3 linked regions of the Rhinolophus ferrumequinum genome follow. The protein of the gene in region 1 purifies or fractionates together with the protein of each later gene. This does not show direct contact. Links are inferred from orthologs where the notes say so. Each region holds a gene or a part of one and is shown on either strand. Other genes may lie near its edges.

What was found.
Region 2: the proteins of MIA2 (region 1) and MIA3 purify together in Homo sapiens (affinity purification with western blotting; 6 studies listed by BioGRID and IntAct, counting the BioPlex papers as one, with this or other methods). This does not show direct contact. The link is inferred for Rhinolophus ferrumequinum from reciprocal best matches to the Homo sapiens genes MIA2 and MIA3.
Region 3: the proteins of MIA2 (region 1) and PREB purify together in Homo sapiens (affinity purification with western blotting; 3 studies listed by BioGRID and IntAct, with this or other methods). This does not show direct contact. The link is inferred for Rhinolophus ferrumequinum from reciprocal best matches to the Homo sapiens genes MIA2 and PREB.

Annotation. Positions count from the first base shown.
Region 1 is NC_046289.1:86,527,336-86,537,714, reverse strand, and holds the start of MIA2 (melanoma inhibitory activity protein 2), read right to left. Parts: upstream 5,839-10,379; 5' UTR 5,634-5,838; coding exon 5,519-5,633; intron 3,488-5,518; coding exon 3,354-3,487; intron 635-3,353; coding exon 548-634; intron 1-547. UniProt on the Homo sapiens protein: Plays a role in the transport of cargos that are too large to fit into COPII-coated vesicles and require specific mechanisms to be incorporated into membrane-bound carriers and exported from the endoplasmic reticulum.
Region 2 is NC_046310.1:12,217,614-12,227,992, reverse strand, and holds the start of MIA3 (transport and Golgi organization protein 1 homolog), read right to left. Parts: upstream 4,750-10,379; 5' UTR 4,710-4,749; coding exon 4,577-4,709; intron 1,756-4,576; coding exon 1,622-1,755; intron 1-1,621.
Region 3 is NC_046296.1:53,518,233-53,528,611, forward strand, and holds PREB (prolactin regulatory element-binding protein), read left to right. Parts: upstream 1-3,758; 5' UTR 3,759-4,029; coding exon 4,030-4,164; intron 4,165-4,756; coding exon 4,757-4,949; intron 4,950-5,128; coding exon 5,129-5,349; intron 5,350-5,532; coding exon 5,533-5,613; intron 5,614-5,711; coding exon 5,712-5,836; intron 5,837-6,031; coding exon 6,032-6,205; intron 6,206-6,353; coding exon 6,354-6,426; intron 6,427-6,615; coding exon 6,616-6,775; intron 6,776-6,952; coding exon 6,953-7,047; 3' UTR 7,048-7,685; downstream 7,686-10,379. Other genes in the region: PRR30 (proline-rich protein 30), read left to right, coding at 885-1,967; protein ABHD1, read right to left, coding at 7,698-7,909, 8,015-8,180, 8,283-8,331, 8,507-8,680, 8,803-8,915, 9,067-9,112, 9,271-9,453, 9,777-9,937.

The sequences.
Region 1 (10,379 bases):
GGATGGCAGCTACGGTTCCATTTTAAAGTGGATCCATTTATATTATGTTTCTTAACAAGAATGTCAGGGGAAATAAACTTTGTCCCAGTAGCACAATCACGTTAGTAATAATATCTAACACTTACGTAGCACTTACTGTTCTAGGTACGTTACATATGCTCATATTTTCTTCAATAAGTTTATGAGGTAGCACTACATTATAATCATCATCCTCGTTCTACACATGAGAAAATGAAGACCACATAGCTAGATACTAAGTGACGGAGTCAGGCTTTGAACTGAGTCCACCCCCAGAATCCATGCTCTTAGCCACTATACTCCACGGCCTGTCTGTTCATTTTTCAGGAAGCAAAATCTTTGTTTGTCATCAGCTTCGTCTTACCTAATTTTATTTACATTCTCCAACTATTCCTAATGTGTGTTCTCAGACCAACGATTTTATATATTCACTATACAAGACACATAACCAGTGCGCACTTATACGTCAGAAAACTGTTTTAGTCAAGAAATTTTAAATTCAATTAATAACCAAAATGAGTTTACTCACTTTAGTTGGTATTTGAATTTCCTCAGATATAAACACCTCTTCAGTCTGGACTGCATCTCTGGGAAAATATCCAAAGTCCTTTCCTTTCTATCAAAATGAAAAACAAAAGGTCGTCAAGGAAGAGTAATCAAAGCAATAAACTATTGAAAGTAATTTTGGGGGCCGGCCTGGTGGCTCAGGTGGTTCGTGCTCCTAACACCGAAGGCTGCCGGTTCGATTCCCACATGGGCCACTGGGCTCTCAACCACAAGGTTGCCGGTTGGATTTCTCAACTCCTGCAAGGGATGGTGGGCTCCACCCCCTGCAACTAAAATTGAACACAGCACCTTGAGCTGAGCTGCTGCTGAGCTCCTGGATGGCTCAGTTGGTTGGAGTGAGACCTCTCAACTACAAGGTTGCTGGTACAACTCCCGCAAGGGATGGTGGGCTGCGCCTCCTGCAACTAACAACGGCAACTGGACCTGGAGCTGAGCTGCATCCTCCACAACTACGACTAAAAGGACAACAACTTGACTTGGAAAAAATCCTGGAAGTACATACACACTGTTCCCCAATAAAGTCCTGTTCCCCTTCCCCAATAAAAAATCTTTAAAAAAAAAGTAAGTAATTTTGCCCCATGTCCTTGGCTTTCATCTATTTTAAATATCACAAATATTAAGTGGCTTTAATATGCCATCTAAGAGAAAGTGAGTGATATTATATTCCTTTTGTTATTCAAAAGAACAGCATTAGTTTGAGGAAACAAAGAGGCAAAGCTATCAAATGCCACTTTTTTAAACTTCAGAGGGGAACCATCCCACACACTCGTTTTCTTCCTTTTTGTGTTCCTTAATGACTTTCCCTGCCCAGGTGGACCACAGATGTACACTAGTAAACCTGGGATATCGAAAGGTGGGAGTAGCCAAGCTAGATAAAGCTGTGACGTATTCAGCATTTTCAGGATGTCAAAATTAGGTGAAAGGTTTAAATTCTGAAGGACCGAGACAGATTCATCAAGATAGTAAAGATCTGTGAGTCCTCCAGGGAGGATTTGGTTCCATTCAACTTTTCTGAGGCTACCTTGGTAACAGAGATCCTCTTAATCCGGTTTAAGTACATGTAGGATGTCCCCTGAGAGTGAGGGCTTCACACAACCATTCTCAGCCCATTTCCTATCCCTATCAAGCTTTAAATAACATGTTTCTTTTGGTCCCTCAATCCAGCAGCATTACACTTTCATTGTAATTCTTCCAGCTCTGCAGTTGCTGCAACTATTTGGAAATTGACAGCCTGTGGGTGAACTGACAGTGTGTTTCCTTAAACAGTCATCTGCCTGGACTAAACATCTAATGCATAAAATTATATATGCTTGAAACTTCACCCTGGCTCCACACATTACACGCTGCTTTTGTGTGGAACTATCATTTTCAGGCATAGGAAACAAGAAAGAATGCTTTCTTTTCCTCTTATACCTACTGTGTCATTTTTCTTATAGGTGCATGGGGTGTCTCTAATGCATTCAAGACATAGATTGGCATATTTAAGGGACCATGAGCAGTAAGGAATCTTGGGAGCTGCAGAGGCCAGACAAACAATTCTGGCCAGTGACAGTCAGTTTCAGTCATACAGCCCCTGATGCTAAAAAGCAGGATGGATCCAAATAGAATCTGTTCTTTCAAATAGTGACCACAGAGTCTATGAGAGAGAGAGAGAGAGAGAGAGAGGGAGAGATCTGATGCATATGCAATATGGAAATAATGTTATGTATCAGGTTGGTCATGCTTATTCAGCTTGGGAAAAATGCTTATCATAGCATTTTTTCATTATAAAGCATAATGATATAATCAAACATACAAACCTATTTTTTTTTAACTTTTATTTATTTTAAGTGTGTTTTTCCAGGACTCATCAGCTCCAAGTCAAGTAGTTGTTTCAATCTAGTTGTGGAGGGCACAGCTCACACTGGCCCATGCGGGGATCGAACCAGCAACCTTGTTGTTAAGAGCACCGCACTCTAACCAACTGAGCTAACCGGCTGCCCCATACAAACCTATTTTCAACTGAAAACATTAATCATTAATTTTCCTGTGTTATATATTCAGAGAGATGATTCTGGCTTCAATGAATTTCAGTGTAATAGGACTTTGGGTCAAAGTCTTTTTTGGGCCAGTTCTTGTTTTCCATGAAAAGTTCATATACTTTGCTTCCCTGGGCTACTAATTTTTCTGAGGACCTTTTCAGTTAACAATTCAGTCCTTTATTTGCTCAGAAAGATGTGCCTTTCTTTTTCTTTTCTTTTTTTTAAGGAAGGCACAGGTCACAGTGGCCCATAACGGGGATTGAACCGGCAACCTTGGTGTTATTAGCACCACACTCTAAGTAACTGAGCCAACAAGTCACCCCAAGATGTGCCTTTTTAATATGATAAGCTAAAAGGTCCCAGTCTCTCTTAAACTTGGCCATTGGCAGCACCATAGGATGCAAGGGAAGGCTGGGGTCATCCCATAATTTCTATGGGCACCTCTAAAGTCTCTCCAAGTAAATATAAAAATTTACGTTCAAAAACTACGAATGCTATGTAAAAATAATCTCAAAGCACTCTTAGTTCTCCATGCCAACCAGACTGCCTTCCCAAAAGCTACTTCATAGATATTCTGGAACCAATACTGAAACAAGACCATTTTTGTTTGTTTAAATATGGTAAGGGTTTTTAAAATGTATAAAAAGTACTTTGGAATTCTTTAAGTTCCTTTAGAGATGAAAAGCAGGCATCCTTGTACAAGCTAGCCATTTATTCTGCATTCAGATTTTAAGACTAGATACTTACACTTCCTGCCCACAAATCTTCCCTTTCTCCTGCAAGTTTGACATAAACAGATATCTCTTCTCCCTTAGTGAAGTTCAGGTATCGGCAGTCAGCTCCTCTGTAATCTCTTATGGCTAAGACTCTGCTTATTAACGCTATGTAAACATGTAAAGAAAAACACACAATTTAAATTAAAATGCTATTTCTCCCCCTCCCATCTTGCTCTTTTCCAATCCATCCTATGTATTTCCATGCTAATTTTCTTTATATAATTTATGGTCTCAAAAACCTACATAGACTTTTCACTGCACACAGAATCAATTCAAAACATTTTAGCTCGGTATCCAAAGCTGTCCATTACCTGGTCCTCCTACCCTATTTAAAATGACATCCTCTGATTCCTTTACAGTCAATTTCCTCTATCCATTGTCCCTGGAATGTGTCATTATCATTTTCCAGTGAATAGGGAAGGGAAAGAAAAGATAATTAATGTTTTTCCTGGTACCTATGTATTCCAGCCATTATACTAAGCTCTTTTATATCTTTATTTTATTAAATCCTCAAAACAGACCTATGAGGTAAATAATCTCATCTCATCTCAGTCTAACAAATGAGACTTTAAGTCTCAGAGAATTGGTCACTCACCTGACAAATGGTGGAGCCAAGATTTGCACTGAGGTTCTTTTCGCTGTATCATCTATCTTCTGTATTCCCAGCTTTTCTTTCTGCTCTTTCCTAAACCTAGAAACCCTTCGGTTTCTCTTCATGGTGAACTCATAACTACTGCCTCTGGGAGACATCCCTAATCCGTTTAGCTTACTCTGCCCCTTCTCTGAACTTCAGTATTACCTATTATCCTTAGGTTGTATCAGTGTTTACTAATTAATCAATATCTTGTCTCACTTATTCCGTAGAATGAAAATTCCTGGAGGTCAAGAAACTTATCTTAACATTTCATTTTATTCTCTTAGATTCATCCCCCCCATCTAGACTCAGCACATAACAGGCCCTCAATAACTATGAATGATCATAACCCATATGCTAGATTTAATACATACAGTAATATACATACCAAATTAACTTATAATTATATTAATATATGTAAAACATTTTAATTAAGTTATGCAATCAAAGTTAAAATAACATTATAAATTTGAATATTCTCATTCCATGTTCTGCGTCTGGCCTTAAGGTAACTAAAATGAGGTTGTAAAGAGGGAAAGAAAGATTATTATTATTATAAAACATTATCTAGTAAACCTCAACATATTAAATTACACATCCGAATGGTTAAAGAAAATATTTACTCATAAAACATTTGCTTGTAAATTATTTGTTTACACTAATAATATTTTCCATTTTTAATTTACATATTGCAAATCAGAAATAATTCTCACATACTGGAGAGATAAACCTTATTTAAAGCAATTATAATATATTAGTATGTAATTCATTTTACACCAGAATGCTAATAACAGAAAATAAATTAAGTTCTTAAGCAAGAAAATAAGATTAATTTTGTGTGTGAAGCTGGTTTTCTGTCACAATTGTATCTGCCAAAAATTTAAAATATCTTGTAATAAAATCAAAATATATATGAAAATAAATAAATAAAATAACATTAATATACCTTTATAGAATATAAAGTTGAATATTCAAGGGTATAAATAAAATTATATATTGCCAACACTGATTTCAATATGTTTATATAACTAGTGAACTTAGAAATTATTAATATTTGATAAAGTTTAGACAGTATATCCTGATGGTTTGAAATAAATTCATTTTTAGAGAACTCATGAGAATCAGAAAGTTCTGATTGTGAAATAGAAACTGAAAAATATCGGGGCTTCATAAATCAAGAAATATCAAATGGCTTGATATCTTTTCTAATATAAATCAATTATATTTATCTTAAAAAATAGTAAAAGTTTGAGGTCTGGATTAATATATTGATAATTTCTGACATAATTATACATCAGGCTGATCTTTGCCTTTTTGTATATTTACATTTAAAAAAAATCACAAAATGTCTTCAACATTTTCTTTTTTTACTGAACTATACTTTATAAATAATTCTCAATGATATCAATGCTCATTTTTACCATGCATGTCCACAATAACATTTTATTTCATTTCAGAGCCTCAATTTAAGAGGAAAAGAAAAAAAAGAAAAGCAAACTTACTTTCACATTCCAAGTCACCACATTTTTTAAAGGCTGCCAGCAGTTTTGTGCCTTCCAGACACTTTGTCAGAGAAATAACCAAAAGAAGGATTCTGTGAACTCCAAGCTCCGCCATGCTAAAACAAGCAAGAATCCCAAATGAGGTTTAAACCATATAGGTTGTAGATATGGCCTCCCAAAACAGGAGATACCCCACTCTCTTTTCTAAATACCAGAGAAAAAGGTATAGTTTTTTTAAAGAAATCCCTTGAAAACTACATTTTTCTATCGGTATTTAGGCTTAACTTTCGAGACAAACACTGTCTGTTCTCAATCTGCAGTGTCAGGTATCCAGATAATACATTGGGGTTTAATAATTAACAGGAATTTTTAGTTGGACTCATGTCTTATAAAGGTGGCCTATGTGAAACTGTCTCTCTTAAAGGCACCTTGCGTTCAACATTTCTTAAACAAGCCTCTACGAAAAGATAGATCATTTCTTTCTGTTAAAAACTTCAGGTAAGTCAGTCAATAAGTACAAACTGAGTATTTGCTGCATGCAAATATCAGCATCAATGGAGAAAGTACGTATTATTATTACATGTAGAAGCAGTAACAATTTATGTCACAAAAAGTTTTTGAAATATCATGATGAAAGTTATTTTGAAAAACTATCCCACTTTCATATTTTAAAAAATTTCAGTGTTACTATGAAGTTGAATCTTGTATTTAGGTAAGAATACTAGTTAAAATGTAGTAGTACTTATGTGCCAGGTACTGTCCTAAACACTTAAATATGTGATCTGATTTAACCCTCACACCAGCTCTCTAAGGTAAGTAATATTATCATCCCCATTTTTGTATTTGAGGAAACTGAGGTACATAGAGAAGGGTTAAATCACTTCAACATCACATAGTTAGTAGAGAAGAAACTTAAACCTAGGCACTGTGTTTCCCCCTACTTACAACCACCATGCCTTCCTACCAAGAATCCAGTCATCTGCCACAGAAAGATATCTACTTCTGCCACAGAAAGATATCGTCCGCAACAGTTCTATTCCAGAAAGAGCAGGTACAGTATTATTCCATGTATGTAAAATTGTCTGCATATTTCTATAAATGGAGAGAGAGTTAGAGATGTCTGAAAGAATGCTCCCCCATACAATGGAACTATATGATGTGATTTCAACTTGTATTCACTTTCTTCTTTGTACTGTTCCATAGTTTTGGACTTTCTTTTAAAAATCAGCGAGCATATATCCTTTCAAAAATACCAATAAAGTTAGGCAAACAAGTTATTTGAATGCTATTGTCACTTAAAAGGGATCAAAGCCCTATATTGGGAATTTTTTGTATAACACTAGATCTCAGTAGATTTTTGAAAATCGCAGTTGTCCTATTTCAATCTTGAGGAAATAGTTTTCTAAGCCCGTCTTTGCTGTAGCTTTCCCCTGTATTTGGGCATGCCAGCGTGTGTGTGGTTTGCAGAATGTAGCTCTTGTATGTATGACACCACACTCCCCTCTAGTGCCTGACATAAGAGAGACAAATATCCAGCACCTGAGCAAGCTAAAGTGAAGGACATTTGCTTTCAAAGTCCTAAAAAAAGGAAGTATGTTTTCTTCTTTTTTGCTTGTTTTCCGAAAACAACAATTAGTAGGAAGCCTGCTTTCTCAAATCAAAGATTTTTATGTCCTTAGGAAGAATCTAATATGGCATGAATTTGCAGATCATTTGGCTTGTAATCAGAGTACTGCATAGCTGTACACACGCACACTCAAAGAGGTATAGGTTGGTTTCTTGAATGCTTTTGAAAATCTATAAATATATAAGTTGTCAAAGACATTTAAAACAGGATTAGCTCTTCAGCTAATTTGCGTAATTTATAATATCAAATTGAGAATATTCAATAATTAATGTACTTTATCCTTTTTTGTATTCAACATTAAAGATACTACAGCTAAATTTTGAACTAACTGACTTAATTATGTTCTAAGTTAAGAGAGAAAAGAACCCAGATAAATTTAAGTTTGTCTATTGATTGGCCTACATGAGATTTGATTCAAGAAAAATGAGAAGAAAATCCTTGCTTAAGATACCATCCTGGAGAGATTTGCTCCTAAGGTACGTGCTAGAAATATTCCCACTTTCTTGCTACTTAATGCACTCAGGTGATCTAATTTTATATTCAACTCATTACTTAAATATAATTTAACAAGAAATTATATATGAAAATACAGTAGCACAATGTTAACTTATCTAATAAACCCAAATGAAGAGGAAGTGCATGCAAGAGATAAGAGTATTTAGTTTAAATAAAGTATCAGTTTTCACTGTAAAAACAGTCATATTAACTTAGCCAGATATTATCTGGCTGATGCATTTTGCAAATCAAGTGTGTGTCAATATTAAAATATAGTACTGCTGCTAAAGAAGGTTTCATGGTAACACTCACTCAGGAATACTGGTTTGGAAGGCCTACAGCATCCTTCAGAAACCATACAGGAGGTAAGAGAACTTACTGCATCAAGCTAAAGAAGGAATCATGAAAGCCACCCACATGTTCAGTGTCTGAGAGATGATATCACAGAGCATCCCTTTTCATGAGAATAGAAAGACATAATCATGAATGCTGCTCTTGTACTTCTTGGTGATGTTGTTTCTGATACTGTATAGTACTATCTTCTCTCGTAATATCTCACATTTCCTAAAGTGGGAGCATATTTCCTTCAACGAATTGCCTGTTACTCTGGTAATTTATAAGAAAGAGAAATTTGATTAGAAGTTACTTGGGAGAACTTCTTGAACTGATGAAGCTGGATTTGTTGTTGTTGTTGTTTACTAGTGAAGAGGCACTAGAACAGAGCGCTTGGAAACAGTTCCCATGGTAGATACATGCACAGAGAGACAAGGCCCAGGAGACACTGAGATTCAAACTGGTGTGGAAGACATGGAGATGGCTCTCAACACACCCTCTTCAAGTTAAGACTTTCTGCTCAGCTGCGGGAAATGCAGTTAGCAGACAGCCTCTGCCTGGCAGCCACTCCAAGGTCTACATCAGTTGCAGAGAGCCACCTTACCCCTTCCTAGGTGATCTAGTGAACCTAGTGAGTAAATGACAAGGAAGTACAAAGACAGGGCCATTTCAGCTTCATGTGAGACACTCTGGCAGGCACGCCTCACTCCAGAGCTCCCTCCCTGTTGGGTTGACTAAAGCTTTGTAGAGCCTATATTGCAGTTCAACTTCCCCTCTGCCCAGTCCGGGTCTCTCCCCCTTCTTTTCATAGGTGTTGATCCCGTAAAACTAAAACTCTGTTTTAGTGTCTGTTTCTAGAGGACCCAACCTCAGAAGCTAGTGACCCACAGATGCAAAAAAAAAAGGAGATGGCAGGACATGGCAAAGAGTGGAGAATGGATTGGGAGGAACAAAAAGAGAAAACCCCACACACGGTCCTTATCCTTTACTGTGTGTTTTTGAATAATAGTATGGAACAAGCCAAGCTATCCAGCCAAGATGATACCTGTGTGATATTTGCTGAGCAAGGGTCCGAGCTGATTAGTCTTATCAGGAAGTAGGAAAGAGATTTAATGTTTGTTGAGCACCAACTTTGTACCATACAAATCTCATCTTCCAGGATGGGTATTATTTATGGAGGGCCCATGATGTGTCAGACACCAATCTAGGGACTGGAGATACAGGAGCGAACAGGACAAAGTCCTTGCTCTCATGGACCTTGCATGCTAAGGAAGGGAGACAGATAAGAACCAGCACACAAATAAGTAAACACAATAATTGCAGGTAGTAATAAGTTATTGTGGAGAAAAGTGTCTACTTAGACAAACTTTTCAGGGAAGGCATCTCGGGAGAGTGACAATAGACTTACAGTGGGGGAATACGAAGGCAGAACATTCTGTGCAGAGGGAAGAATTAATGAAGAGGTCATACTTCATTGTCTGAAGTTTGATTTACAAAGATTTAAAGAAAAAACAGAGGCATCTTGGATACATTTCAGGATGTCAGAAACAAGGCTTTAAGGTGTAAACTAACTTGGCATAGAGAATCAAGAAACATAAAGGCAGGTGGAGAGTGGTAGGAGATAAACTAGGAAATGAAGACAGAGGTCAAATCATCCAGGGACTTTTGGCTGTGGAAATGAAATGGGAGTTTTATTCTAGGTGCAATGGGAAGCCATAGAAAGTTTTAAGGAAGGGAATGGCGTTATTTGTGTTTTTATCATATAACTTCACTTTCTTGCTTTGCTAATTCCTACTTATTCTTCAAGTCTCTTAGGTTAGATCAATAAATACATCACTCAATAACTTTTTATTGAATGAATGAAAGAATGCATGCATGAGTGAATAAATGAATTGATTTCTTTTCGAGCAAGACTCTTCATGCCTCATGACTAAATGAAATTCTATCTTCAGCTGTGTAGCTCAACTGCTCTCTCATTTCAAAAAGAAAGTCAAGTAACCTTTTGATTAAATTTTCTCTTCTGTAAAAAAAAGTTCTGACAAAAAGAATTGGATCCCCTATTTATCTTTATTATTGGCTTGGCATCAGTAGCAGCAGTAGAACTCTAGATATGCAGCAAGCTAAGCTATAAAAACCTTTTGGATTCCCAAATACCATAAGGGGTGCTTGACAAGTTGCTACATATGAGTAAGTTAATGAGCAACAATACAGAAATATTTAATATTCCTACTAATTTTCAATTACCAATAACCTGAATGTCTTTTTTAAATTTTTATTGAGGAATATTGGGGAACAGTATGTTTTTCCAGGACCCATCAGTTCCATGTCAAGTCGTTGTTTTCAATCTAGTTGTGGAGGGCGCAGCTCACTGGCCCATGTGGGAATCGAACCGGCGACCTTGGTGTT
Region 2 (10,379 bases), on another chromosome or scaffold:
GGGCCTTCATGACAGGAAGTGATCTTTATATCTCATTTTGCTTCCACACATCATCCCTGCTAGGGAACTGCTGATTTGATTTGAAGGGAAAAAAAAAGTAGAATATTGTTTCAAGAGAACAAATTCTGCACAAGCTATTTACTATCAGGACACATGTAATTAAGTGCCACCGCCCTGAAAGGAAATATTCAAAAGGAAGGTGGGTTACACATGGGCCCTTCCAGTAACAGGACTTTTAACTTTATAGGAGCTAAGTCACTCTACACACTACCTGCAATACAGAGCAGTAAAAAAAAAAAAAATTCCACACAAGCAGTGCAAATACAGTGCCACCTAAATTATTCTCAGACAGCAGAGATCCTTCTGGCTGGTCAGAGCTTCTCAAAGAAGGCAGGATGAGAGCTGGGCCTCAGGATGGCAGGCTTTCCAGAGGTGAATACGGTTGTGAATAAAAGTGTGGAGATAGAAAAATGCAAGTCAAGTTCACTTATTCAAATGCTCAAACTTAACCGCTAGATGAAAAAGGAAGCTAGGAACATGGGGAAAATTCTCCAAGTGTAAAGATTAAGAAGTCTCATGTGGTAGACTTGAAAGAAACAGAATAGATTCTTTGTATAGAGGGATTCAGCTGGGATTCTGCCTAAATACAAGGGTTGTATCTAGACCAGTTGGCCTTTGGAGATTTCTCCCTAGGAATCTGGACCGCCAAAAAAATGAGTCTATTTTTTCCTTATGGTGGTTTCTCAAGTCTTATTTTCTATTGTTTGTTTGGTGTTTTATTGAGAGTGAAAGTTTTCACAGTAGGGACTGTATATATCTCTAAATTTGGACAGTCCTAAGGACATCAAGGACTTTTACTACTTTCGATAAACAGTCCACACATCACACTTTTTAAAAAGGAAAGGACAGTATCTCATAAGCCTCTCAATCAGGTCACTCCTAGTGAATCTTCTCATTCAAAACATCAAAGCATGATGCATTGATTTCCATGTCTCATATCAGGGCACCCGTAGAACTGGGTGCAGTAGAGCTGCTGGGGAAACTGCTAGGAGCAAATATCTAAAAAGCAGGAAAAAGATTACCTAGAAGTTGCAAACAGAACAAACAAACAAAGTACAGAGTGAAAATGACATTTTGCTTTTTTAACAGACTAAGAATGGCACACGATTATGTAACTGTTCCCAAAGCTGCCAGTTTTTCACAAATATTAATAACTTAGAAAAAAAGAAACGCACACAAAATCAACTTTAATTGTGAATGCCCAAAACACTATCTTGCACATAATTTATAGAAGTAAGCCTAATGCTCATAAATCTTCCCTTTTTGAAGCAATGGAGTTAAGAATTTCCAGGTTGCACTATTTTAACCTTTACTACATCTGGTGCACCCATGGCTGATCAGGTCTAGAACTTGAAGCAGTTCAGTTCTGTTTAGGAAACCTCTGCTGAGCCCCTACTCTGTGCCAAGCCTGATGCCTGCTGGGGACCCAAATCTTTTTCACACTCTAGCACAGAGGATAGGTTAACACCATCAAAGACCCAGCAAAACAGTTATTTAAATCTACAGTGCTAAACAAGCCAGTAAGAAGTCAAAAAAGAAAGTATGTCAAATTTTTACTTACACTTCCAGCCCAAAGTTCAGGCGATCTCCCTGCCAGTGTGTAGTAGACGTAGACATGGTCACCTTTTTTAAAATTCACAAAACGACAGTCTGGGCCTGTAAAATCTTCTAGAGCTTCACCCCGGTACATTAACACTGTATATAAAGAGAGGAAAAAAATGACCGGATGTCAGGATTCAACTTTCACAGTCCACATTGATTTATCAGGAAATGTAAGAACCCACTGTAAACAATTCACTTTCTCCAGTACTCTGTGGAACCAGTCGCTTTCAATTCACATGCTCAAAGTATCTAACATATTTAGAGGTTTATTGTTATAAATCATGACACCCACTGCAAGTAGACGGGGATGAGGGAAACTTTTCCTGGCTTTCTCTATGCATAATGAAACAAAAAGCAATGTGTCCACCACACTTGCCTGGTCTCAAGTGAAACTCTCGTTCCCTCTCTCACCTTCTAGTCCTCGATCTTTGCTGTTTCATAATCATAAAAAAGCTTTATTTTGCAATCGGGTAAATTCAAGTAGAGATACTGACTAGCTTAAGCATGACTACATGTAGAGGTAATAGGAAACTGGGGAGAGCACCTAGGAACCCCCAAGGGGTCAATTAACTTGAACTAACCCCTAAAAGGCACTATCTTTAAGTGGCTCTAACTGCTACCACGTAGCCATAAACACTGTCAGTGTCATCTGCAGCCAAATTGTTCTGTCCTTACAACATCTGAATAAATTAACAGGAAAGGGTGTCAAATCCTATTATGGATCCAATCACATTACAAGGTAGTATTTTCTGAAAGTATATAATGTTGACTGTACCCAACATTAAGAAGTTTTCAAAACAAAGTTGAAGCATTCTTATTTACTTATTTCTATAAATAAAATCAAAAGTGGACATCATCACATGTGGCAGGGACAAGCCTAACTGTGAGACTTGTTCAGTAGTTACCTTCAGTCCTAAAATGTAGGACTGATAGAACTAGAAACTGGTATTTTTCTTTTTGTTGGCCAGATACAGTTTCTGGTGTAAGATGAAATGGACAATAAATGCAATTAAATAGCAGGCGAAAAAGAAGGATAAAATGGAAATAACCTTTTTTCCTAAAAGCGAATTAGCAATAAATACATTAAAACATACTTTTAAATACATATTTGAGGGACAAACATAGATTTGAAGGAGTTTTGGATTTTGAAGCTAAAATCTGATTATTTTAATACATATCAGCATCCTAATTCACAGGTAATTGGATAAGAGGCCAGGTTGAAGGTGATGGACAGTATAAGATTGGAGACTCTATCAGAACTGGAGATAGCAATGTTTCTCTTGGTCCCTGTTAGAAGAGATCATTGAGGATTTATAGTAATAAATGAGATAACAACATAATGTATACTGGTGAACAACTATCTGAAAAGCCCATGCCACACAACACAGATCCAGACCCTGCTCCAGCTGCTGCCTGCTATATTTTGTTACATCTGTCTGGACACATGCCATTTCTCAAGTTCTGTGACAACTAAGGGCCTTTCCAACACCATGTTTCTGTACTGAGGAAGCATCATGGATGTGATCTCCAGGCAACTGGTTTTGAGGAACTCAGCACAGTGCTTGAAAGCAAAGAATAGCAAGCATTTTGCCAGAGCCAACCCTGTTTGTTAACAACCTGAGTTTGCTGGGGGGAGAGGAGGGGTAAGTAACCAAAGGAAGAAATCATGATGGAAGTTGTTCTGCTTTTGTCGTGTTTATTTACATCCACCCTAGGGGTTACCTCCAGGAATGGCTCAACACAAATCAAAGATTGCCTCCTTTCTTTTCTTTAATGGTGTTGCAGTGATACAAACTCTTCAAATTATGTAATTTGTTTTTGAATAACACCAATTTGAACATAAATGGCTAAACTATAGGCTTATGGCCTTTTCAGAATGAATATTTTTCAGTATGTATCAATTACAATTTATGAACAACCGATTCCAAAGCGGTAATCAGTAAGTTACAAGGTTGTGTGAGACCAGTCGGGAGGCTGTTAAGAATGATCCTCGTTCGGCAGAAACCTAGGAAGAGATTCCAACAACACAGTGACTAAAGCTAAAGCTGGTTGGGTTTATAAAATCCTTGGAGTATTTATTATTGTTACTTTCAAAATCCTCTTCATCTGAGTCTGAGACCTCAGCTCTCCACACCCTCCCACCCCCAATCCAAGATGGGAACAATTCCGCTTCCTGCGCAAAAAAGAGGCGGCTGATGGTCCCAGGTGGCCGATTCATATCCTCAGCCTCTTTCCAGAACGAAAGATTTTTGGCCTTGCTGTTGCCCGCCCTGCCTGGCTGCTTGTAAGGACTTCTAAGCACAGAAATGACAGGATTGAGGCAGAGCCGGGGCGGAGACATGGGAATACTCTGCTTGCCTGGACTCCGCGCTCGTCCCAAATCTAAACTCCAATCTATCTGTATGAGCCCCAAATCCGAGTGAAGCAGAAGGGCGAAGGGGCAGTGCCAGGGCGCCCTTCCCGAGCCCCACCATCAACCTGCCGCAGAGAATCCACCCACCGAGCCCTGAGCGCATCTGCCCCCGGGCTGCACCCACCGAGGTCGCCGCGGCGGGGACAGGAAAGCGCTCGGAGGCAGCGTGGGGAGCAGGACGCGCGGCGCTCACCCCATCTCCGCTACGCGCCGGGCGGGCGGGTGGAGCGGACGCTGGGAGCTGCCCGAAACGGGGGCCACCTCCAACCCCCAACACCCCTCCCCGCCGGGCCAGCAATGAAAAAATAAAACGCCGGCAACAAGTGGGAGGTGCAGCCCCCAGCGGCCAGGGCCAGCGGGCGCCCGCAGAGCCGCAGGGCACAAAGGCAGGGACCCGGGGATCACCCCTACCCCGGCCTGCGAGCCCCCGGTCGGCGTGCGGGCTGCCGAGCTCCCGCCCCCGCGCAGCCTCGGCGCCGCTGTCCCCCTCCCGCCACTCACTGCTGCATTCGTTGTCCGCGCAGAGTTTATACTCCGAGAAGCGCCGATTCGTGTCCGGCTCCGGTTGGCCCGGCACCCGCCAGGGTGGCCCGAGCAGGAGCAGCCAAAAGAGCAGCCCGGGCGCCGCAGCCATGTTGTGGTCACCTCGCGGAGCCGGTGACGCGGTGGAGGAGGCCGGGGCGGGCGCCGGCGGGCGGTGCCGGGGGCGGAGCGCGGGTGGGAAGCGCGGCGCGGAGGGGCGGCGCCCGGGAAGGTTTGAGTTGTTCCCGGCTGACACGTCAGCACGGGCTCGGGGAGGGGATGGAGGGCTCCCGGAGGAGGACCGCAGCTGCGACTTTCTCCCCGAGGCCTCCTCCTCTGCTCGCTGCCTTGGCAACCGGGACTCTATATCCTCTCCCTCGCCCAATCGCCTGCCTTTGCCCCTGTCCCTTCGCGGGCGACCCTCCGCGCCATTCCATTCCTCGCTCACCCCTCTCTGCGACCTTGGATCCCCTAACCTCGCTGTGTCTCACCAACAGGTCCTGCTGGCACCTCGCAGATTCTGATTTCTGGTTTGTCCCAAACCAGCCCACTTCACCCCCCAACCCCCATTCTTGGTTGGGTACTTCCTTTTCTGGACTATCAAATCCCACCCACGGTTTGCCACTGTTAGTCCTGGTTCAAGGCTCCTTCTCCTTCCGACCCCCGGGGGTTCTTGGGGCCCCATCCCATGATCCCCTTTAATTAGGAAGGCGGAGTGTGAGTGGAGTGGTGCGTTGGTGATGTAAATTACAGCCGGTGGCCTGCTTGGTCACTTTCTGAGCCCTGGGGGATGGAGGTGGGCAATAGGTCCCTGTGCTGAGATCTTCAGGTTCTTGGGACTTTATCCATAAGGGAAGAAGTAATTTAATTCAACACGAATGTGTTGAGCTTTCATTTTATGCTACCATTTCATGTCACGCCAGACATTGGACAAAATACTAGGGTGGTGTGCGGAAATATGTAGGTCAAAGACAAGATAACTGGCCCTTGTCTAAGGAAGCCCACAATTTAGTGGAAACCAACAAGCATAAGAACGACTACTGAATAAATGTCAGAGTAGGAGAAAGCTAATTAATGGCAGCTAACATTTACTGAGTGCTTTCTTTAGGATGAGGTGTTGTTCTAAGGTGTTCATGTGTATCAGTTCATTTAATCTTCACAACAATAGTAGATCCTATTACTACCTGTCTTCGTTTTTGAGATGAGTAAATTGAGGCATTCACACTCTAAGATTCAAACCAGGTAATATGCTCCTTTTTAATCATAACTGTATAACGCCTCCATCAAGCAACATTGCAATTTCTGTTCTTTCTGTCTGACTAGAGGAAGCAAAATCTTGCTTAAATTACAATATGACTGAATTATCTATATATGCCACACACACAAAAAAAAAAAAAAGCCACATGTCAGCCGAGGGAGGAGTGGCGGCAATATTCTGGCTCTGGTTGGAGCACTTGGCATTTGTCTGTGGCCAGAGGCTCCTCACTGCAGTCTCTGCTAAGGTTATTCATCCACCTGGAACATCAGTCAAACCCATCAGTTGGCTTCCCAAACTAACTGGATTCTTTGAAAGCAAGAGGAAAGAATGTGGCCCATCCATGCAATCCATAATGCTGAATAAAGGAAAAGACGGGATGTTTCCAGAGGTGTTCACAGTCGTCTATAGGGGCCGTGAGATGTCCCGTTGGTCCAGTGTAGTTCCCATGCTGTTTGGAGAGAATGTACAATGGATAAGGTCACCGAGCATCCAAGTAGTAGTGCCCTCCGGAGATTTTCATTTCTTTTCTACTATGTGTTTGTTTGCTTTAGATTCTTAGGCGTGCCAAACAGGCACCTCTAACTTATGATGTTAAAAACCAAACTCTTTATTTTGTCTCTCAAACCCTGATCCTTTTATCTTCCCCGTCTCAATAATGACACTTTAGTTCCTATTTTCCAGGTGCTCAAGTCAAAAACTTACAAACCATTCTTGACATCTCTTTCTCTCATACCCTATGTCCAATCTACCAGACAATCCTGTGCATTCTTTATTTTAATAGCTTTATTGGGGTGTAATTGATATACAATAAACTGCACACATTTAAAGTGTACAATCTGATAAGTTTTGACATATGTATACCCGTGAGACCATCACCACAATCAAGATAATTATATCCATCACCCCTAAGAGTCCTCATGCTCCTTTGTAATCCCTCCCTTCCCTCCCCTGCCTGTCTGCAAACAACCTTCTGTTGCTATAGATTGATTTGTAATTTCTAGAATTTGATATAAATGGAATCATACAGTATGCGTTATCTTTTTTTTTGGTCAGACTTCTTTCACTCAGCATAATCTGAGTGAAACATCCAGAATCTGAGCACTTCTCACCATCTCCGATGCTAACACTGCAGGCCGAGCCGCCATCATCTCTCGCCTGAAAGATTGCAATAGCTTTCTCACTGTTCTCCCTGCTTCTGCTTTTACCTCCCTAAAGTCTGTTGTCTCAATAGCAGCCAGCATGGTCATTTCATGATATAAATGTGATGATATAAATGTGGTCATGTTCAAAACCTCTGCTCCTCTGCTCAAAACCTTCCTGTGACTTCCCACCTCCAAGTAAAATGCAATGAATGACTATCATGGACTGCACTGTCTTATTTGATCTGACTTGGTCATCCCTTTGACTTCCATTTCCTAACACTCTCCCCTTGTACAATTAGTTCCATTCAAACTCATCAAACCCGTTCCTGTGTTCAAGCATTGCACTTGCAATTTTCTCTCAACCTGGAACAGTTCCCCCCACTAGTTCACCTGGCTAACTACTTCCCTCACTTCATCCAGGGTCTGTAACAACACCTTATCTTATTAGAGAGGCCTTCCCTGATCATTTACACGAGGTAGAGCTCTGTCCGTGATTATCTAGCCCATCATCCTGCTTTTCTTTTCTTTAGAGCCTTTACCACCTGCCTTACATTTGTTTATCTCTTTGTCCCCCTACCCCAAATAGTATAAGCTCCACGGGAGCAAGGAATTTGTTTTGTCCAATGCTGTAATTATGTGCCTAGGAAAATGTCAGGAATGTATGAGGTACTCAATTAATGATTTGTTGGATGAAACTGTGATTCCTCACATATTATAAATATGGTACACTATTACTCTACACAGAGCCTCCATATATAAACAGTACCAAGAAGGAATATGCCATGAGAGCAAGTCGTTTTCTGTCTTCCCCTCAGTTGCATTCTCAACACCAGGAACAGAACCTGGAATATATTTTGTTGATTGAAGGCATATTTATTATGGAGGGAGTGAATGAAATTGCACTGTACTTTTTCCTAAATACTACCAGAATATTAAAGCAAATAATGATAATACTAATGTTACTTATTTCTATTTAGAGTAGAAATAATGACAATTCATTGGTGGAAAAGCAAAATTCCAAAACGACTGATCAAATCAATATTACGTTACTAATATTTACTTTGACTAATATTCAGAGATGCTTTTATATAAAGAATGAGAGTTGGTAGATTTCCAGAGTTTCGGTTTATCTGTATTCTTTTAAATCATTATTATCGCCTTAAAGAGATATTAACAAGCTTGATGGATAATCAGAAAAAATTTCTCAGTTTCTCACAATGAGAGTGGTAGTGGTAATTCTTCCTGCCAGTGTGTATGTGTGTGTGTGTGTGTGTGTGTGTGTGTGTATAATCCCAAGTGTATTGTTTGTTAACACCTCAAATGGAATTTTCACTGGGCAAATGTTGAGTAAGAGTTAAAAAAATAAATTTGTAGTTTGTGGGGGGAAGGGATCAAAATATCAAAATATAAGATAAGGAGAGTTCCTGATCATGAATAATTTGTGGTTGGATTGAAAAGGACAAGACAACTACATCTGAAACAAATAAAATACAGCATAATAACATGTATCATTGTAAACTTCCCATGATGGCTGCCCAGGAACATCTAGAGTCTTAACAATGAAGTTACCAGGAAGAACACAGTCTATCACCAATGATAAAACCACTTCGAGTCCAGAGAATGGTGTAAAACATATACTGAAGACTGTGGCTTCCATCCAAGATGGAGTAATAGGATCACATGTACCTTCCCCTCCTCATGTTAAATATCTGAAACAAAACAAAACATAAAAACATAGACAAAATATGTGAATCAATTATTTTCAGACATTGGACAACAAACAGTATGGGATAATGATCCCTCTGATAAGTGGAACAAATAAGGTGAGTGCTATGACTGCCTCAGCTTACTCCCTGGATAAAGTATCCATGCCACAACCAGAGAAAGGAAACTCAAACAGGTGATCTTGAGTTGAAGAGACAGATTTGTAAGTTTGGAGAGATCAAAGCAGCTGGGATTTGTAGGGAACAGTACAGAGGAAAAGAGAGCTGCATGGAAAAGAGAGAACTTCACAGACAAAGAGCTCTAGAGACTTGCAGAAGATTTCTCTCAACCTTAAACCACTGGGGAGGACAGGGAAAATAATTGTTCGAGTACAGAATAGTTTATGCTCCCATCAGCCAGAATGGAAAACCTGTAGTAAACAGAGCATCAGGTAGAGTGCTCAGTAAAGGGTAAAATATCAGCCTAAGATTGAAAACTACTCTATCGAAACTCAAAAACAAGTCTTGAAAAGATCAAAATATTTCCAAATAAATTAACTGCATTCCAGAACAAATCTCAAGAATATTTAAAAGAATACAAATATCCAACACGCAACAAGGTAAATATACAATGTCTGGAGTCCAATAAACAATTATGAGGCATGCAAAGAAGCAGGAAAATACAACCCATAACAAAAAGAAAAATCAATCAATAGAAAATTTCATAAATGACACAGATAATAGAATTATTGTAGAAGGACGTTAACAAAATTATATTCCATATATTAAAGATGCTATAGGAGAGCATAAGTATGTAAAGGAGAAACGTGGAGGATATAAAAATGATCCAGTTCAAACTTAGGTGAAGAAAACAATGGCTGAGATGAAAAATATACTAGATGGTATTAATAACAGATTAGACATTTCAAAAGAAAATATTAGTGAACTTGAAGACATAGCAATATAAACTCTCCAAAATGAAACAGAGAGAGAAAAGAGACCAAAAGAAATTGAATAGAGTATCAGTGTGCACAACTTCAACTAGTCCAACATATGTGTGACTGGGGTGCCTGAAGGAGGTAGGAGACAGAAAATATATTTGAAGAAATAATGAATTAAAGCACTCCAAATTTGATGAAAACTCACAGATCCATGAATCCCAAGAAACCCCAAGCACAAGAAACATGAAGAAAACACCAGTGCACATCCAATTGCCTAAAACCATTGGTGATGAAAAAAATGTGAACGTCATCTAGAGAAAACAGACACTCTGTGTACAGGGGAGGGAAGATAAATGACAGGAGACTTCTTGTTGGAAAAATGGAAGCCAGAAGACAGTTGATCAACATATTTAAAGTGTTGAAAGAAAAAAATATGACACTCTGGAGTTGTATACCAAGTGAAAATATTTTTCAAAGATGAGGTGAAGTCTTTTTAACACATGGTGCTGGGACAACTGGATATCCACATGCAAAAAAAAGAAAAATTGAACACTATCTTATGCCACATACAAAAGTCAACTCAAAATGGTTCATAGACCTAAATGTAAGAGCTAAAACTATTAAAAAAAATTAGAAAAAAACACAGGGAGAAATCTTGGAGTAGGCAATGATTTCTTAGATATGACACCAAAAGCACAAGCAACCAAAGAAAAAACAGATAAATTGTACTTTATCAAA
Region 3 (10,379 bases), on another chromosome or scaffold:
GGTCAGGGGAACCAGAGTGGCAGGAGACCAGGATGCTTGCAGAATCCCTGATTCAGGTTTCGAACAAAAGCCTGTAACAGAAGACCTCCACCTCCCTGGAAGAGGACTGAGGGCAAGTCTCAGATAGAAATCTGGGTCAGAGTGAATTGAGGGAGGTAAACGAAGCAGAGCGGGGTGTATCCACCCTGTAGTGACTGTTTATCTTTCTCCCACGTCCCCTCATTGCTCAATTGCCTTGTGAAACACAGCCCAGAGAAACCCTCGTTGGTAAGAGCTCACAGCACCAGAATACCCTCCATTCCTAGTCCCATCTCAGCCCTCACCCCCCAAACCCCCTCATCCAACTCCATTCTACCCTCTCTCCCTATAATTCTCCTCAGATCTAACCTACCCTGGAGCATTTTCCAGCTCTTCTGACCCCAAAGGTGACATGCGTTTAGGGTCTTGGTGAATCAGCCTGGTACTGGCACATGAAGTAGAGCCAGAAATGGACTGATTCTCCCAATGTCTTGGGCTCTGTTTCCCTCTCTACAGGTCCTATAGGCTGTGTCTTCCTGACCCATTCAGATAACTGCTGCTGCCCCTCAGCTCCCACGAGGCAGCTCTGATTCTCCATCCCTATACATCCCTCATCAATGGCTGACTGCAAAGAAGTGAGACGCTGAATTTAGACCCAAGCTTCTGCCTGAACACCCAGACAGCCTGGTGCTACGGGGCTGGCTGTCTCCTTGGCCTGCCACCAACAGCTGTACCAACGCAGCCTCACACTGCACACAGAAGACCTTGGTTTCTCAGCTAAGTCTGACCTCAGAGATTCTGGTCCTGACTCTGCCAGATCTCTAATCTCTGGACTTGACACCCCAGTCCTTTCTGGACTCAAGGCAATGCTGCCTAAAAACAAGGACCAGGTGCTTCTACAGAACACAGTGCCCCCTGGGCACCCCCTTCAGGGCCCCTCACAACTTGTGGACTCCCATCCCCCCAACCTTCAGCCTCTGCCTCCCCAGAAATCACTCACTCCTTCCTACCCACCTAGCTTCCTTTCTCCACAGTCCCATTCTCCTGTCTCCCATTTTTATTCTTCTGAGTCATATTCTGACTTTGCCCTACATCCCTACTCTTTCTCTCTCCCAAGTTCTCCCACTTTCTTTCATCAGAATCACCCCTCTCTCTCCCTTTCACGTTCCTCCTCTCCCTCCCAACGGCTATACCCCTCTCCTCCTCCTCCTCATTCCTTGTCTCCCTCTGAGCCAAAGAACTCTCTCTCCCACTCAGGCTGCCAGACTCCTTCCCACCCTGTAGACCTACTTAGCTCCCCTCTTACTTCCCCAAGCCCCAGCCTACCTTCTCCGGGGATCTACTCTAACAGGCAGACATGGCACTGGCATCATCAGTACCAGGACACCAGGTCCCCTGGGGTGGTGGGGGAATGCGTGGCAAGCGAGAGGGACCCTGCAGAGTTCAGGGACCCCGGAGCACTGGCCAAGGCCCTGGTGGCCCACTTGGGGCACCGCCGCATTGCACACGACCTGCGGCTACTGCTTTTGCAGCACCTGTGGCTAGGCAGAACCGGCCAGGCTCCAGTCGTGGAGTATCCCATATGCCTGGTGTGTCTCCGGCCCCGCAGCCCCTCTTGCCCCATCCCCAGTTGCAGGACTGGACCCCGGCTCCTGGCCTTCCCCCAACTACTGCCCTGTGCACAGGGCCAGGAATCCGGACCACTCCGCCTAGGCATCGGCTTTGGCCTTCGCCTGCCTCGTGGCCAGGCCAGGGCTTTGCACCTGTTACCAGAAAGAAGGCCAGAGGAAGTAGGGTCTCAGGGCAAGGCCCCTCCCGCCTGTGGGTATCCAACCCAGGCATCTCGGGCCCCAGCAATGGCTCAGGCCCGGGCAAATTCAGCCCCAGGCACACCCTCCCAGACCCGGAGCCTCAGGTCTGCAGGCCCTCAGCCGTCAAACTCCGCCTGATGTTCAGAGCCTCCACCTCAGGCACCAAAACAGGCCACTGTCTCCCTGAAGCCCAAGCTTTCCTCTGCTCCAGAGAGGCCTGCCTCTCTAGAGCCCATTCTCCGAAAGACACCACCTTAGTTCCAGAGCCGCGGAGGCTCCCTGGAGCACCTCTGCTAAACGCCACTGTCCCCACCAGGCCCCAGATCTTGGGAAGCCCCCAAGACACCCTGAAGGGCTGGCTGGCTGGAGGTCAGGTGTGTTCTCCAGTCTTGAACCCTGGAAGCCCCTTGTGGAGTCTGCTCTCTCCGGGCTGAAGAGGACCAAGGGCATCCAAGGCCCCATTCAGCCTTCAGTGTATCCAATAAAGCCTGACCCTGAAAAACCTGTGTTTGTGCCCTGCTGAGCAGACACAGTGGGTACCTATGTTACTGGAAAATGGGTTCTTGGTTACGCCTTAGGAAGGAATTCAGGAATGCACCGAATAAGCAAGCAAGCAAAGCGAGCCAAGCCAAGCAAGTAGAGGATTTGTTAAAAGACAGAGAATAGACTCCCAAAAGGCAGGAGTAAGCAGGCCAAGAACAGCAACTGCGCCAAAGAACAAAGAAGTTTAGGATTTTATTTGAATGAGGGCACGAAATATTCAAGATTTAGGGGTGGCGTCACAGGTGTGAGGACAGGTTCCTGCTGTCCTCGCTTATCACTCCTTCCTGTGGGGAGGTGGGATTCCCTTGTCTTTACTTGGCCCTTGTTTGAACTGTCATATGGTGACATAGGGGGTAGAGATTTTTTCCCGCCCATAATGCTAATAATATTATAATCTATTACAATTAGCTGTAGCTGCACCTTAAGAATGATCTCATATCCTTTGTTTCCCTGCACTTCCTTCTTCCTTCCCCTTCCCTTCAGCCGCCCAGTTCTTTCTGCCTACAGTAGCACCTTCTGGGGGAGTCAAAGGAAACAGTGGCCAGGGACAGTGGATGCCATGTATCTGAGGAAGGCATGGGATCCACAAGGCCTGAGCACCTGAGATGTGCAGAGGGCTCTGGCAGACACTTCACACATGTAAAGACAGATAATGGCATCCCCAAAGACGAAGCCACTGGGCCCCTTCCTCTGGGGGAACCTTAGGTTGATAAGATGCACGCTGATGAGGCCAGGGGAGCAGCAGATGTATCCTTGCAGGAAAGGGCACTCCTAGCGTTCACTTGCCGAGAAACACAGGGACCCTCTCCTGGGAGATTAGAAACCCCAGGGCCTCCTAGGAGGGTGGGGTGTCAGGCAGAAGTGAGATCTGCCCGGCTGGGAGCCAGGTTGCCTGTCTCTCAAGGTGTCAGAGGGGAGCAGCCTCCACCTACAAATCCTCGGGAGCCACTCCCACCACTGCCTGCCAACCTTGGGTGGTTGTTAAGGTAAATAGTGGGTTCCTCAGACGAGGAAGCAGTGGATTCAGAATTTGAAGCCAAGTTCGTTCGAAACTCCGCACTGCCTCCATTGAGAGATTACATTGCCCGTGCGTGACCTTGGACAAATCACTTCCTCTCTGGGGTAAAACATGAAGGCTGAGCTGCATGAGTCTGCGTGTCACTCTTGAAGGGTAGACAGCCCTAATCCAAGGATTTCTTTATTAAAGGTTTATTAACCTTCCTTAATCTTTGTTGGTTCCCCTTCCTCCTCCAGAATCCCCGAGGACCTTCCCGCGAAACAGGAGAGCACCTCTCCCTCCCCGCAAAAAGAGGTCGAAATTTGACGTCACGCGGGGGGGCGGCGACCAGAACCCTGGCGCTGGTGTTCCGTCACCTACGGCCCGCCAGTGCTGACGCGTAATGGCGGGTCTGCGCCTGCGCGAGGAGAGCGAGCTCGGTGCGCTTGCGCGCTGAGCGTCTGCGAGCCCGACTTAGCCGGCTGGGGGCAGAGACACTGATCCCTGTGTGGTTCGAGTTTTGGCCACCCGGCAGATGTGAGAGGTGTCGGGAGTCCTCCCGGCAACGACGGGGCCAAGTTCAATCGCGGCCGGGACAAGAACCGAAGGCCGGGCGCAGCATGTCCCGGGTGCCGCCGTGCGGACAGTGAAGCGAGCGGGATGGGCCGGCGCCGGGCGCCAGAGCTGTACCGGGCCCCGTTCCCGTTGTACGCGCTTCAGGTCGACCCCAGCACCGGGCTGCTCATCGCTGCGGGCGGAGGAGGCGCCGCCAAGACCGGCATAAAGAATGGCGTGGTGAGAAAGCGGGGCCGCTGGGACCGGGTCACTCCACGGGCTGAAGGCGATTCCGGGAGGGTCGCAGGGTCGGGCCGCACCCCAGCTTCGGACCCTGCCCCTCCCCGGTTGAAATCCCCGGCATGCCGGATATCCCGGCGCGAATTTCAGCCGAGCAATTGATTGAGAGACTCCCGAGGTAAAGTGAAAACTGCTCTTAGCGCTGCGTTGGCGGGAACGCTTTAAACTCGACCACAGGAGCAGCTCCGGGGGTCTTATCCTGGGCTTTTCCAGGGAGGCCACAAAGACTTGTCCGTCTGCCCTCTAACGGCGGCGAGAGTGCTGCGTTTGGTCCTTAGGCTAGGTTTCTTCCTTCTAAGCGCCACCCTATTGCACTGTAAACTGGAGGCAATAACGCCAACCCTGCCAGCTGTCCAGATTTGCGGGGTTCAAAAAAAAAAAAGAAAAAGAAACAAAGGTTGGAGAAATCCTTGTGCACTAGAAAGTGCGGTAAGCAAAGGGGTAGAGCATCAGACTATAGGATGCAAGTCTGCCCTTGAGGTAAACTCCCAGCACCCCTGAACCTTGCTCATTGTGCTTCCCTTTCCCATAGCACTTTCTGCAGCTAGAGCAGATTAATGGGCGCTTGAGCGCCTCCTTGCTACACTCCCATGACACGGAGACACGGGCCACCATGAACTTGGCGCTGGCGGGTAACATCCTCGCCGCAGGGCAGGATGCCCACTGTCAGCTCCTGCGCTTCCAGACCCAGCAGCAGAAGGGCAAAAACAAGGCAGAGAAGGCAGGTGAGAAGCCCCCTCTCTAGCTTTGGAAAAGGTTACATGAGTGAGATCACTCTCATCTTGGTTTCTGTAAAAGTGGCGCTGGAAGTGGGGTTATGGTAGCAGTGCGAAGCTGGATATTGTAGAGAGGGACCTGGGATTACTATAGAAGACTGGAAAGTGACAGGCTGCTTGTGTTGCAGATTCCAAGGAGCAGGGACCTCGACAAAGAAAGGGGGTAGCCCCAGCAGAGAAGAAATCTGGAGCTGAAACCCACCAGGATGGAGTAGAACTCAAAGTAGAGAATTTGCAGGCAGTGCAGACAGACTTCAGCCCTGATCCACTGCAGAAAGTTGTGTGCTTCAACCACGATAATACCCTGCTTGCCACTGGAGGGACAGATGGCTACGTTCGTGTCTGGAAGGTGTGGTTTTGGGGGATTAGGAAGGATGAATGTCAGTAGCAGCAAGGCCAGAATTGTGAGAAACTGAACTTGGGTTCTAGGAATTTATGAGAGTGAAACCTGCGCTGCATGGCCATGAGAAGAGAGGAGGGGTGGGAATCAATGTGCTCTGCCTGGCTAATCATGGTGGTGGTTTGGCTGCAGGTACCCAACCTAGTGAAAGTGCTGGAGTTCAAAGCCCATGAAGGAGAGATTGAGGATCTAGCCTTGGGGCCTGATGGCAAGGTGAGGAGGTGAGAGGGTGGAGAAAGTATGTAATTATGCTGCGTGTTCTGTAAGTGGATCTCCTAACTGTTCATCTTGGAATCTTGATTCCTGACTAGTTGGTAACTGTGGGCTGGGACCTGAAGGCCTCCGTGTGGCAGAAGGATCAGCTGGTGACACAGCTGCACTGGCAAGAGAATGGACCCACCTTTTCTAACACGCCTTACCGCTACCAGGCCTGCAGGTGTGAAGACCCTGGCTGACCCCAGAGGGTCAGCCTCGATGTGGTGGGAGAGTGGGGAAAGACTTAGGGGAAACTGGGGAGCATCATGGCCTTGGTGGTGTTACCTCAGGCCTGACCAGGATGCAGGAGGGTACAGACTCTTGAGGAGGGTTGTGCAGGCCCCAGACGCTTAACAGCTTCTCACTTGGCTGCCAGGTTTGGGCAGGTTCCAGACCAGCCTGCTGGGCTGCGACTCTTCACAGTGCAGATTCCCCACAAGCGTCTGCGCCAGCCCCCACCCTGCTACCTCACAGCCTGGGATGGCTCCACCTTCTTGCCCCTTCGGACCAAACCCTGTGGCCATGAAGTCATCTCCTGCCTTAGTGTCAGGTATGAGATGATGCTGGCTTGGCTGGGTGTGAGGGTGGCTGGGGGAGCTTGGGAAGGAATCCTGCCTGAGTCCCTGAGGACTGTTTTTAGTGAATGAGTGTCGCTGCACAGGCCTCCAGGACAATGAGCATTTTATTGTCTGTTGCAGTGAATCGGGCACCTTCCTAGGCCTGGGCACGGTCACTGGCTCTGTTGCCATCTACATAGCTTTCTCTCTCCAGGTAACGGGTAGAGGTGGGCACAGCCCTGAGGTTTCTTTGGAGTGGGGACTCTAGGCCTGCTTGTACCCTGAGTGTGCAGGAAGGAGTCTGGCCTTCCGGTAGAGGGAAAGCCTTCTGGGGGCAGAGGGGATGTTTTCCAGAACTGTTCCCAATTGGGCCTTCCTTCACTAGTTCTCCTTCTGTCTCCAGCGCCTCTACTATGTGAGGGAGGCCCATGGCATCGTGGTGACAGATGTGGCCTTTCTACCTGAGAAAGGTCGTGGTCCAGAGCTCCTTGGGTCCCACGAAACTGCCCTTTTCTCTGTGGCTGTTGATAGCCGTTGCCAGCTGCACCTGCTGCCCTCACGGCGTGAGTCATTGGGGTGGGGGTACCACCTACCCTTTCGCTCTAGCAAAAATTTGCCCCCTGGAGAATGGGCTGCTTGCTTGTAGCCATCCCCCCTCCTTGAATGGAACCGGTTGAGGTTCTGTTCTTCAGGCTGTGAAGTCCCTTTGCCCCCTGACTACTTCCCTTACCCCCCTGCAGGGAGTGTTCCTGTGTGGCTGCTGCTGCTGCTATGTGTCGGGCTTATTGTTATGACCATCCTGCTGCTCCAGAGTGCCTTTCCAGATTTTCTTTAGCCTCCCTGCTCCCAGGGAGACTGCCACCTGGACACTGCCACCTTCTGGACCAGGGTGGAGGCCTGGACCCCGTTGCTCACTCCACCTCCACCTGGGTTTACAGCTGAGGTGGCCTTAGATGAGACTTGCTGGGTACTGCCTGCCCTTCCCAGTAAAAGCTCGGCTGTGGCCCTGTGCCACTCGAGTCCTGGGAACCCTGCATTCATCATCTGTGGATCTACCCAGGAGAGCAGTGTCTGCAGCTCCAGGCCACACCACCTGCTTCCTTCCCTCTGTCTACCAGAGGCTCCGGAGTTGAGCTTGTCCTTTCTCCAGAAATATGTGAAGATGCCCCAGAATCTGGAGGCACTGCTGTCCCTTCCTGCGAAACAATCCGTTTCTCCTCTCCTCACAACCTGTGGCCAGTTGCTCTTCACATGAGCCCCTGGCATTTGTTGGCCTGGGACTTGCTGTTAGGGAAGGAAGGGGCAAAAGGAAGACCCAGGCAGTAATGTGTGGGTTCAGCTGGGTAGCTGTAAGCCAGCCAGGCTAAATATGCAGTAAGTTCCCTAGCCTCGAGAGAAGGGAAGATGAACCTCAGTCCATTCAGCAGGAAAAGTTATATTTAATAAACAAGGGAAGACTGAACTGAGACCCCAGTGGTACTGTTGTCAGCTTTTGCCTCCCTCAGAAGGTGAGGGAGCCCTGAGGCCGAGCAGCTCTGCTGGATGCTGAAAGACAGCTTTGGCATACTGATGGAGGAGGCGGCTCATGTAGCAGTGCTGCCAGGGGAGCAGCCCCTCCAGGAAGCCGATGTGGCCACCCTGGGCAGTGACGAGCAGTGCGACATGGGGAGACTGTTGGGCAGCCTGTAAGGGGAGGGCTGGGGGGAGGGTTGGAGAGGAGGTCAGGAGAGCCCAGGCTTTCCACTTGCACCTCCTGGCCCATTGTCCTTGGGCCCTAAAGCATCCAGATTCAGGGTGCTCACCATGGACTGGGGAGAAGGGGTCATCGGCTGCGTTGAGGCAGAGCACAGGGATCTGGATGGCATCTACCTTGGTTCTTGGGCTTGCTGCCTCATAGTAGGTAACACAGTCTTGATATCCAAAGGCCACAGATGTGTAGCGCTCATCAAACTGGCGGATTGTATGGGCCTGTGGGTGGTGGAGGGCAGGATAGGCTAGGATGAAAATAGGGAATGGGAAGATACTAGAAGAACAATTTTGGGTGGAGGGGAGATGGTTGAAAGACTATACCTGTAGCACAAAGTCTACATTCACCACCTTTTCCATCACCTTTCTATTTCTGCAAAAGAGCGCTTAGAGGTTTGACTCTGCTCCTGGACCTGATCCAGAGCCCCCAGCCCGTTTTATCTTATGAGTGAAAAAACCCAGATATAGAACTGACCCAAGCACTGGGAGAACCTGGTGTCTTTGCCATCCTACTCTCTGCTTCTCCCTCCCACTTGCCAAGATCCTACCGGTCCACCATTTGGCAGAGCCCAGCAGTAAGGCGCTGATTAAAGAGCAATGAGTTGAGTGGGGTCTCCAGGGAGCGGGTGGTCTCAAAGGAATCCCAGCATGCAGATAGAGTCAGGGCTGCCACCAGTCCTGCAGCCTGCCCCATTCGTGCCAGGTGGTTCAGCACCAGTATCCTGCAGGATCAGGTCAGTGGCCATGGAAGAAGGGTTTGCATTAATGAGTGGGACAGAGGATATGGAGGAGGAAAGAAACAAAGGGAGACGGGGCATTTGGGTTAAGCCCAGGAAGACTTTACCCTCCAAGAGAGATGCCCACAGCCAGCAATGGAGCTTGGGAGTAGCGATGCTTTATGTGGTTCACGACTGTCTCCAGATCTTCAGTATTGCTGGCACAAAAGGCCCTGTGGGTCTGAGGCAAACTGGATCATTGGACAGGGAGGGAGGCCCTTGCCAGAAGGCAGAAAAATGGAAGGGAAATGGGGGAAGGATAGGTAAGTGGAGCCCCAGGGCCAAGGATCTCTCAAGGGAGTGGGTTGAAGGACTGAGGAAAGGGTACTCACCAAGAGAGCTTCCCCACGGCAGCCCCGGTTATTGAAGACGACAGCCCTGTGGCACACAGGTACACCTTAGCCCCTCCCTAGAAGCCCCTCTTTGTCAGCCTTCAGAAAGGCCCTGGTCAAAAGGTGCCTTTCATATAGCACCGTCTGAATCGACCTCCCTATTACCAGTTCTCACCCCCCAGCTCCTCTGGGCTGTGGCCTTACCTATAACCATCCCTCAAAGCTTGGTCAACTAGGTGCAATATGTATGCCTCCTGGCTATTGCCTGTGATACCGGGAAGCAGTAATACAATGGGCTGGGTGGCAGGGTCAGGGTGTTGACTGCTGTCATGCTGGCCAGCCCAGTCTAGCAGGAGCCGTCCTCCATCTGGGGTTTGGAGGACTTCACTGTGGTTTTGGAGAAAAGGGCACACAAAGATATCATTAGGAACTCCATGTACTTCCAAAGGTTTACCCCCTGCCACACCACAACTCCCATCAGCCTCACTTGAGGGCATGTGTTATGCCAAACAAGACTAACAAGGTATGATGGGGACATAAAAGATGGATTACCTCATGGTTGTGCAAAGACATAGCCCTCCATCTAGCCACTCTTTATTACCCTCAACACACCCAGGCATATGGTGCAAAGGTTACCTTCATTTTTAAAAGGTAGACAGGATTCCCCTATACTTGCAGCTTCACATTCACCCCTTTCTGTCCCTTCTTACCTGCAGTAAGGGACTAGAGGCCGAGACTGCAGTAAGACTCGGAAGATGGTTTGTAGCCGCCCCTCAAAACACCACAGCGTAGGGTAGAAAGTCTCCACAGTGATTGGACAGTGTTGCTCCAGGAAGGCCAGAAACCGGGACCCAGTCACCAGTTGAGGCCTCTGTAATCACAACACAATCGGCCTCACACCCGATGTTTGCACCAAGCCAGTGAGGCACCCAATACCAGTGACCCCTCTGCAGAGGCCAGCCTGGAGGGCACTGCTTCAGCTGCGGTGAGAAATCTAGCAAGTCATATCTGTTAATATCGTCTGCTCTAACCCAAAGAACTCCAGGAGTGTCACCCGTCCAGAACTGACCCTGAACTAGGGCTGGGTGCCGCTGCAGCTGACTGGGTGCTGAGACCCCCCCTCAGCCTATGCATGTCCCAAACCCATTTTGGAGAGAGCAGGTAATAGAAGTTGCCCAGCTGATCCCTTGCAGGAAGTGTTGGGATCCTGGACAGAGGCAGAAGAAATGCAGCACCATTCAACCTGCTACCTTTGCCTTGCAGTTGAATTATCCACACTGTCATCTTTCCAAAACTAGCTCTAGCCATGCTGG